2 linked regions of the Macaca mulatta genome follow. The protein of the gene in region 2 purifies or fractionates together with the protein of the main gene of each other region. This does not show direct contact. Links are inferred from orthologs where the notes say so. Each region holds a gene or a part of one and is shown on either strand. Other genes may lie near its edges.

Evidence for each region.
Region 1: the proteins of PPT1 (region 2) and CANX purify together in Homo sapiens (affinity purification with mass spectrometry; 3 studies listed by BioGRID and IntAct, with this or other methods). This does not show direct contact. The link is inferred for Macaca mulatta from reciprocal best matches to the Homo sapiens genes PPT1 and CANX.

The regions. Positions count from the first base shown.
Region 1 is NC_133411.1:188,715,001-188,719,937, forward strand, and holds part of CANX (calnexin), read left to right. Parts: coding exon 1-23; intron 24-871; coding exon 872-998; intron 999-2,302; coding exon 2,303-2,382; intron 2,383-4,546; coding exon 4,547-4,600; 3' UTR 4,601-4,937. UniProt on the Homo sapiens protein: Calcium-binding protein that interacts with newly synthesized monoglucosylated glycoproteins in the endoplasmic reticulum. It may act in assisting protein assembly and/or in the retention within the ER of unassembled protein subunits.
Region 2 is NC_133406.1:200,690,546-200,695,970, forward strand, and holds the start of PPT1 (palmitoyl-protein thioesterase 1 precursor), read left to right. Parts: upstream 1-1,653; 5' UTR 1,654-1,659; coding exon 1,660-1,783; intron 1,784-5,425. UniProt on the Homo sapiens protein: Has thioesterase activity against fatty acid thioesters with 14 -18 carbons, including palmitoyl-CoA, S-palmitoyl-N-acetylcysteamine, and palmitoylated proteins. In contrast to PPT2, PPT1 can hydrolyze palmitoylated proteins and palmitoylcysteine.

The DNA of each region.
Region 1 (4,937 bases), on a different chromosome or scaffold from region 2:
TCCTCTTCTGCTGTTCTGGAAAGGTAGGAAGTTTGGTTTTTTTAGAATCACTTTTAGAGACATCACTCTGGTGATTATTAAAAATAACTAAGAAATGTTGCCTAAGGTTTTCTTTGTAGTGGCTCAGTAATGACTGAGCCGTGTTTGGTGATGACTTCAGAAACCTTACTTACTGTTCCTCAGTGGCCATTTATTCTGCCCAGATGGGAACAGGATTTATAGCCCCTTGGTTGCTTTTATTATTTATCCTAATCTATTACTCTCCATAATGTTCGGCAGCAGCTTTCTAAAAAAAAACAATAAAGTTCGATATAAAACTAGTTACTTGGCCAATAATCAGCTTTTCCTGCTGGCATACCTATTTCTATTATTTGAAATTCAGTCTTTGATTCCTCATTATCCATTTTGCCTTCACCTTCCCCACTCTGAAAACAGTATGTTGGGGTACCACAGCCTTATTGTTAGTTTTTCTTGTCTAGCCTTTTTTGCATGTGCTATCATAAAAAAAGGAAGTCTTATTTTGGCCCTCTACTTCTACTAAATGAGGATTATGCTTCATCTGGCATTCATAGCACTTTGTAACTGGATCCCAAGTTCCTTTTCCAGCCTTATCCTCTGACACTATTCTTTGTATCTGTGCCGCAGTCACCTTTTTTGACCCGTATTTTCCTGTCTGGCCCTTTTGTTTTTATTCTACCTTGAAACACGCATGTGCACACATGCTCTTCAGGGTAGGAATTACATCTTATTCGTTTTTATATATCTATCCCTGTATACAGCCTGGAACAGAACTTTGCCTGTAGGCATTCAGGAATTATATAACATAATACCTGAACATGTAAACAAAATTGCACTTTGGGGAACATTTCAGAAACAGACCAGTGCTATGGAGTATAAGAAAACTGATGCACCTCAGCCGGATGTGAAGGAAGAGGAAGAAGAGAAGGAAGAGGAAAAGGACAAGGGAGATGAGGAGGAGGAAGGAGAAGAGAAACTTGGTAAGAAATAGAGTCCAGAAAATCTGCTTTAAGCCAAGACCCTACGATGTCGTTAAACCTTTACAGTCAAGTTAAAGATTGTTTTTAGCCAGGCATGGTGGCTCAAGCCTGTAATCCTAGCACTTTGGGAGGTTGCAGCAGGAAAATCGCTTGAGCCCAGGAGTTTAAGGCTGTAGTCAGCCAGGATAGTGCCACTGTACTCCAGCTGAGCAACAGAGTGAGGTCCTCTCTCTCTCTTTTTTATGTTTATTTTGTATGTATGTATGTATGTATTTATTTATTTTCAGATGAAGTCTCGCTCTGTTGCCCAGGCTGGAGTGCAGTGGTGCGATCTCGGCTCACTGCACGCTCCGCCTCCTGGGTTGACACCATTCTCCTGCCTCAGCCTCCCGAGTAGCTGGGACTATAGGCGCCCGCCACTATGCCTGGCTAACTTTTTTGTATTTTTAGTAAAGACAGGGTTTCGCCGCATTATCCAGGATGGTCTCGATCTCCTGACCTCATGATCCACCCACCTCGGCCTCCCAAAGTGCCAGGATTACAGACGTGAGCCACTGCGCCCAGCCTCTGTTTTTATTTTTTAAGACATGGTCCCACTCTGTCACTCAGGTTGGAATGCAATGGCACAATCACAGTTCACCACAGCCTCGAACTTATAGGCTCAAGTGATCCTCCTACCTCAGCCTCCCCCGTCCCCAAGTAGCTGGGACCACATGCCCAGCTGATTTATTATTTATTTATTTATTTGATGTGATCTGGCCCTGTTGCCTAGGCTGGAGTGCAGTGGTGTGATCTTGGTTCACTGCAGCCTTTGCCTCCCGGATTCAAGCGATTCTCCCACCTGGGCCTCCCAAAGTGTTGGGATTACAGGCGTGAGCCACCACACCCAGCGAGATCCTGTCTCTTAAAAAAAAAATTATTGACCAGGCACGGTGGTTCACACCTGTAATTCCAGCACTTTGGGAGGCTGAGGCGAGTGGATCATGAGGTCAGGAGATCGAAACCATCCTGGCTAACACGGTAAAACCCCGTCTCTTCTAAAAATACAAAAATTTAGCCGGGCGTGGTGGCGGGTGCCTGTAGCCCCAGCTCCTTGGGAGGCTGAGGCAGGAGAACCGCTTGAACCTGGAGGCAGAGGTTGCAGTGAGCTGAGATCGCGCCACTGCACTCCAGCCTGGGTTGACAGAGCGAAACTCCGTCTCAAGAAAAAAAAAAGTGTTGTAGATCTAGAGATTTGTTCTAATGCTAATGTGTAATCACCAAAAATAGTCAGGTTTTGCTCAGTTGTTTAACTTTTGTCTCAGAAGAGAAACAGAAAAGTGATGCTGAAGAAGATGGTGGCACTGTCAGTCAAGAGGAGGAAGACAGAAAACCTAAAGCAGAGGTAAAGGAAAGGGGTCACACATTCTGTTTTTCCAAGTTTAAGGTACATTTATTTAAAGGGAATATTTTAATAGGGTAGTTTACAGTGGCTTATGGCAGTAAAAATTCTGTTAAAACCAATTTTGTTGAAGTGGAATTCTTTGTGATACCGGTCAGTGTTTTGTTTGATAATCTGAAGCTACATCTGCCTCTCCAAAGTATTTTTTTAGCTGAAAATGATTTTCTGGAATAAGCAGAAGGTTGTAGGGGGATAATAAAATGCTTGCTAAGAAGGAAACTTCGGGTCATTAACAGTCTATTTGCCTCTCCTCACAGTGCCCTGAAAAGTATTTCTTATACAAATCACTGTGTTCTAAACTTTTTGTCCCCGTTATCCATAGATTGGTTCCATTCATTCATTTACCTGATGTGTGTTGAGTGCCCATTTTGTTGCAGGCATTGTCAGTGAATAAGACAGACAAAGATACCCTGCCTTTAGGGAGCTGATATTCTACTTGGGGGAAACAGGCAGTGAGCAGTAAACATTGTAAGGAAGTAAACAACACAGCATATTAGGAAGTGAGAAACTATGAAAAATTAAAACAGGAAAAAGTATTAAAAGTGCTAGAGGTAGGGCGGGTCACCATGTTAAAAACCTTACTCGAAAGATGACACTGGACCAAAGACTTGAAAGAGATAGAGAACTTTTCCATGGGGATGTAAGTGGGAAGAGCATTCCAGGCAGAGAGAACAGCCAGTATTGAGAGCCTAAAGTGGTCTACAAAGCCAGTATGGTGAGTGGACAGACAGAGTGGAGAAGAGAAGGGTGGAGAAGGCTCCGGGTTAGACAGGCTGTTGTGTGGACTTGGCTTTCCCTCCTAGTGAAGCAGGCAACCATCACAGGCTACTGGACACAGTTGTCACAGGATGATGACTATCTGCTGTGTTTCCTATATACCAGTGAGAATCAGGGAGACCAGTTAGGAGGTTCCTGTAATCATCTAGGAAAGATATGGTGGCCCCAAAAAGGGTGACAGGAGAGGAACAGAGGGTATGAGAACTAGTTGGGGTTCTGGATCTTGGTTTTGTGGTGGATTGGATAGATATATAGAGTATGAGAGAAAGGGAACAGTCATTGTACCATTGCCCACTAAAGTCCTTCCCCCAGCACCTCTGTGTCTCAGTCTGGTCTCTCCTGGAAAGCTCTTCTCAGGTTTTACTTCCAGCTACAACTCTGCCTTCCTATTAATAAAGGTCATTGCTATCTGTATCTTTTGTATATTTTCAATGGATATGTTCTGTCTTAACTAGAATGCAGTTCTTTTTTTTTTTTTTTTGAGACGGAGTCTCGCTCTGTCACCCAGGTTGGAGTGCAGTGGCCGGATCTCAGCTCACTGCAAGCTCCGCTTCCCGGGTTTACGCCATTCTCCTGCCTCAGCCTCCCCAGTAGCTGGGACTACAGGCGCCCACCACCTCGCCCGGCTAGTTTTTTGTATTTTTTAGTAGAGACGGGGTTTCACCGTGTTAACCAGGATGGTCTCGATCTCCCGACCTCGTGATCCGCCCGTCTCGGCCTCCCAAAGTGCTGGGATTACAGGCTTGAGCCACCGCGCCCAGCCCTAGAATGCAGTTCTTAAAAGTAGAGACCATGTTTCCCCCAAACTCCCTCACATGTTAAAAAGTTGCTGGCGCATTTTAAAAAAAAAAGGAATATTTTCATAGGGTAATTTACAATCTTAGCAACTTGTGATAGAGTACAAAGAGCAGCAGCCTTGGAGTCAGTCTACTTGGATAGTCTTCCATCTTCATGAATCCTTGGTTTCTTACCCTCAGACTGGGGCGAGTGTGCCATAGGCCAGTAGATTGTTTGGGATTAAGCAAGATTAAGAAATCACTTAAGCAAGATAAAGAAACCACAGTGTCTGATCCCTTTTTAAGAATATGTTTATGGGTTAGATTGAGAAAAGTGTATGCTTATAGAAAACAATGAAGACTAAACTGAAGTAGGAATAATTCCACCACCTCTGAGACAACCATTCTTCTTGGTGCATTTTCTTCTAATCATTTTTCTCATTTTTTCCTCAAATAAGTTACCCTCAGCCTGGCTGATCTTGAAAATATGGTGAACTTTTATTATGTTTTAAATGTGCTAATTATAGTGAATTTCTTTTCTTTTCAATCAATAGGAGGATGAAATTTTGAACAGATCACCAAGAAACAGAAAGCCACGAAGAGAGTGAAACAATCTTAAGAGCTTGATCTGTGATTTCCTCTCCCTACCCCCTGCAAGAGTGGTCCTAGGAGAGGACCTGGCACACCTTAGATTGAAATTCAGAAAACTTCAAGACATCACCATCAGCAGGCTCCAGTTGAACACTAGTCTGTGTAACTTTAAACATCTAGCAGTAAATACTTGCAGTTGTGATATAAAGGACCCTGTTTCTGTAGAAAAGAAAACATTTAACATAATGGTTGTGAAATATAACATGAGGCAAACTAACTTCTTTTTTTTTTTTTTTTTTAACATCTTTGTTTTTTAAAATAGAATGATAGAACTTTGCCAGTCTTTAAGATCTT
Region 2 (5,425 bases):
GGTTTCTTTAAACTGGAGCAATAAATCCCGTGGGTTTGTAATCAACTTTTCTTTTACAACATACTAAAGACATTTTTCATATCATTTTATGCAAATGTACCTCATTTTTCTTTTTTGAGAGAGACAAAAAAGAAACAACAACCCCCTGTTGCCCAGAGGGTAGTGCAATGGCAAGATCATAGCTCAATGCAACCTTGAACTCCTGGGCTCAAGTGATCCTCCCACCTCGGCTTCCCTAGTAGCTAGGATTACAGGCACATACCACTACCCCTGGCTAATTAAAAAAAAAAAATTTTTTTTTTTTTTGGGTGGAGATGGGGTCTTGCTATGTTGCCTGGGCTGTATTCACTTTTTATGTATTTATGTATTTATTTATTTATTTATTTATTTATTTATTTATTTATTTTGAGACAGAGTTTCGCTCTTGTTGCCCAGGCTGGAGTACAATGGCATGATCTCAGCTCACCGCAACGTCTGCCTCCCAGGTTCAAGCAATTCTCCTGCCTCAGCCTCCTGAGTAGCTGGGATTACAGGCATGCACCACCACGCCTGGCTAATTTGGTATTTTTAGTAGAGATGGGATTTCTCCATATTGGTCAGGCTGGTCTTGAACTCCCGACCTCAGGTGATCTGCCCACCTCGGCCTCCCAAAGTGCTGGGATTATAGGTGTGAGCCACCGCTCCTGGCCCTATACTCACTTTTTATAAAACTGGCCTCATATTATTCCATTGTATAGTGGATACACTCTAATTTCTTTACAAATTCTTTACACTATTTTTTTGATGTTTTGTTGAAAAAACTTGAGCAGAGAACTGAGATTATGAAGGTGGACTGAGGGATGAATCTGGCAATAGAGCATAAAATGGATTAAAGAGGAGAGAATGGAAAAGGAAATGATTGATGAGAGACCCTTGAAATAATCCAGCTGAGATTAGGCCAGTTAGTGGCCATGGGTTTTCCCCTCACTCTTATGCATCCAACATATGCTTTCGTCCGTCTTGAAGTCCCGACATTTCTAGAAAACACAGTTGTCTTTCTCCTCTCTACCTTAGCTCATCTCAGTCCTTCTGAATTTCATCTTTGCTTGTTGAAATCCTACCTCTCCTTCAATATCCAGAACAAACCCCACACCCTGCCATGATTGGTACTGGCTGGAAATTGTCCCTCCTCCCTTTCTTCCTTCCTTTGTGCATGTTTCTTCCAAAGGCAGTACAGGGCAGTGGTGAAGAGCAACGACTTTGGACCCACCAATTTGCTATCTCTGTGCCCTTGGGCACCTTACTCAATGCCAGTTCTCAGTGCCTCAGTGTCCTCACCTGTCAGAGGGGGAGGAGTGCATACAGCGTTGTTATGAGGAGCAAATCAGTTAAAGTTTGTAAGAATAGTGCCTGATAGTATCTGATCAGCGCTGAATAAATGTTAGCAATTGTTTTGATTCACCGCAGAGGGCGGTCTACAACAGCGCGGAGCCCCACTCGGCCAGCGGGGCCTGGCGGGGGACCTGTCGCGCTGAAAGCTCCAGGGTAGGGCCAACGCCCATCAGGCTGCGCATCCGTTCGGGATGCGCAGGTTGCAGTCTGCAGCCGGCGGCGTCACGCCCAGGCGGGCGGAGCGCGGCTCCGGGAGGCGCGAGCCCGCGGTCATGTGACACAGTGAAGATGGCGTCGCCCAGCTGCCTGTGGCTCTTGGCTGTCGCCCTCCTGCCATGGACCTGCGCTGCCCGGGCGTTGCATCATCTGGACCCGCCGGCGCCGCTGCCGTTGGTGATCTGGCATGGGATGGGTGAGTGAGTGAGAAGCTGAAAAGGGTTTGGCGATTCTCTCTCCTCCTAGCCTCGGTTCGCATCTGCAAAATGCGGGTGTAGAGGGCGAGGACCTGGCCCCACAGCTCGCGGCTGCCTCGACATTTTAGGATTTGAAGGATTTGAAGGATCTGCATTGGAAAGAGAGAAGGGGAAGGAGCCGTCCTTTGATGAGCTCAAGGAGAGCCGCGCACGGCGTTGAGGTTTTACATGCTGTCCTTGATTAATCCTTACAGTAGTGGCGTCAGGATGCGGCATCTCGCACTTGATCAGGCTAGGTGAGCTGCGGCTGGCTACATGACTGGCGCATCTACCCTTTTATTTATTCCTTCACACATTGAACAGAGCTTTGTTAGGCACCTACAGTTCATTTACAAGTTGAGTAACCCTTATCTGAAATGCTTGGGACTGAGAAGTATTTCGGATTTTAAAAAAAATGTTTGCATATATACAACAAGATATCTTGGGGGTTGGACCCAAGGAAATTCATTTATTTTTCGTATACACCTTATACACATACCTGGAAGTTAATGTTTTTTTTTTTTTTTTTTTTTCCTGAGACAGAGTCTCGCTCTGTCGCCCAGGCTGGAGTGCAGTGGCCGGATCTCAGCTCACTGCAAGCTCCGCCTCCCGGGTTTATGCCATTCTCCTGCCTCAGCCTCCCGAGTAGCTGGGACTACAGGCGCCCGCCACCTCGCCCGGCTAGTTTTTTGTATTTTTTTTTTAGTAGAGATGGGGTTTCACTGTGTTAGGCAGGATGGTCTCGATCTCCTGACCTTGTGATCCCCCCGTCTCGGCCTCCCAAAGTGCTGGGATTACAGGCTTGAGCCACCGCGCCCGGCCTGCTGGAAGTGAATTTTATGCAATATTTTAAATAATGTTGGCTGGGCGCGGTGGCTCAAGCCTGTAATCCCAGCACTTTGGGAGGCCGAGACGGGTGGATCACGAGGTCAGGAGATCGAGACCATCCTGGCTAACACGGTGAAACCCCGTCTCTACTAAGAAATACAAAAAACTAGCCGGGCGAGGGGGCGGGCGCCTGTAGTCCCAGCTACTCGGGAGGCTGAGGCCGGAGAATGGCGTGAACCCGGGAGGCGGAGCTTGCAGTGAGCTGAGATCCGGCCACTGCACTCCAGCCTGGGCTACAGAGCGAGACTCCGTCTCAAAAAAAAAAAAAAAATAAAAAATAAATAAATAAATAAATAAATAATTTTGTGCAACCTGTCACATGAGGTCAGGCGTGGAAATTTCCAATTGTGGCATTATGTCTGCTCTGAAAAACTTTCAGATTTTGGATTTCGCATTTTCAGATTAGGATGCTCAACCTATATTAATTTAACACAGTTATTGAGCACCTACTAGGTGCTGAGGATACAGTAGGGAACTAAACAGGCTAAAGTCTTTGTTCTTTTGGAACCTACTCTCCAGTAGGAGGAGCAGATTATAAAGAAATTAATAAGTAAAACATAACATATCAAATGGTGATAAGTGCAATGGAGAAAAGTATAGTAGGGTGTAGGATAAAGATGAGGTGGGCGCTTGCACTTTTAATAAAGCAAAGTTGGGAAAGAATTCATTAAAAAAGTGACATCTGAATGCAAAACAGGTGGATGAGGACAGTTGCCATTTGGCTATCTGGTAGAAGGAACAGTAAATGGGAAAGCCCTGATGCAGAAGTATGTCTGGTATATTCAACAGACAGCATTCAGGTCAGTGTGGCTGGAAATGAGTGAGCAAGGGGAAGAAGTTAGGAGTTTAGTTTGGAAGGGAGGGGCAGTTACAGAAGTTATTGGGCCTAGTAAGACTAATGCAGGGACTTTGGCTAGAGTGTCATGGGGAACTTTGTGACCACATGAGTGACATGATCTGACACATTTTTTTTTTTTCTTTTTTTTTTTTTTGAGACGGAGTCTCGCTCTGTCGCCCAGGCTGGAGTGCAGTGGCCAGATCTCCGCTCACTGCAAGCTCCGCCTCCCGGGTTTGCGCAATTCTCCTGCCTCAGCCTCCTGAGCAGCTGGGACTACAGGCGCCCGCCACCTCGCCCGGCTTTTTTTTTTGTATTTTTAGTAGAGACGGGGTTTCACCATGTTAGCCAGGATGGTCTCGATCTCCTAACCTCGTGATCCACCCGTCTCGGCCTCCCAAAGTGCTGGGATTACAGGCTTGAGCCACCGCGCCCAGCCGATCTGACACATTTTTAAAGAATCACTTTAGTTGCTGTATTGAGAATAGATTGTAGGGGTTCATGGATAGTCACAGGGAGACAGGTTAGAAACTATTGCAATAATTTAAACAAGAGATGATGATGGCTTGAAACTGTAGAGTAACAATAGAGGTGTTGAGAAGTGGTCAAAGTTTGGATAGATTTTGAAGGTGGATCGCTAACAGATCAGACTTGGAATAAGAGAGAAAGAAAGGAGCCAAGGATGACTCCACAAGTTTTGGCCTGGACAATTGGAAGGGTGAAGTTTTCATTTTACCAAGATGGGGAAGCCTGTAGGACAAGCTGACTTAGGGTGGGGGAAAGATCAAGAGTCTGCTTTTGGGCTTACTAAACTCGAAATCCTCATGAGACATCCAGGAAGTGTTGTAGAGGCATGGAGCGTGGAGTCTAGGACAGAGATACCGGCTGGAGATTTAAGTAGGGAGTCTTCGGCATACAGCTAGTAGTTAAAGGCCTGGTGAGATCACCTAGGAAATGAGTGTACACAGAGGACTGAGCCCTGAGGTACTCCATTCCCTTTGGAGGTGGAGGAAATGAGGAGAAACTAGCAAAGGAGACTATATCCGAACAACCAGTGAAGTGGAGGGGTCAGGAAAGCTCAGTGTCCTTGACGCCAAGTGAAGAAAGTGTTTCAGGAGGAAGGGCATGATCAACTGCATCAAATGTTGATAGGTCCTGAGTAACTGTATCAAATGTTAATGGGTCAAGGAAGATAAAGGCTGACAACTGATTATTGGATTTAGCAATATAAAGATGACTAATCTTGACAAAAGCAGTTTTGGGAGAGTGGTGACAGTGAGAGCTTCATTGGGATGGGTTACAGAAAAATATTCAGAGTAATTAGAGTGAGCAAATACAAACACTTTCAAGGTTCTGCACCAGGCCCTGGGGCTACTACTGTGGGGTCAAAAGAGGACACAAGTTAGGAGCTTTGTGTTTTCCCAGAGCTCACAGTCAGTTGCAGGGGAGGCAGAGGCAGTTAAGTAACCTACAATTACAGCTCAGTGTGGAGAACGTTGTTTTCAGAGAAATAAAAGGAATAGACGATTCTCTAGGCAATAGCCTTTTCTTCTTCTAAAATTGGTGCTTAAGCTTTCTTGCAGGTTGAAAATGGAATGAGTAAGTTCGAAATGGGAAATGATCTCACTCCACTTCTCCTACTCAGTAGCCAGTTTGCTTCCTGTTCCTAGTTCTAGTTCCTTGAAATAGAAGAAACAAGTCTGGGATTAGGACAAGATGAAGAGGCTCCTGAAATGCAAATTTTAAGGAGGCACTCACTCTCAAATTCAGGGTCAGCACTTACATAAACCTGAGAATGAGTGCCTCCTTAAATTTTGTGCCCTAGAGCAGGGGTCCCCAACTCCCTGGGTCGGGTCTGTGACCTGTTAGGAACTAGGCC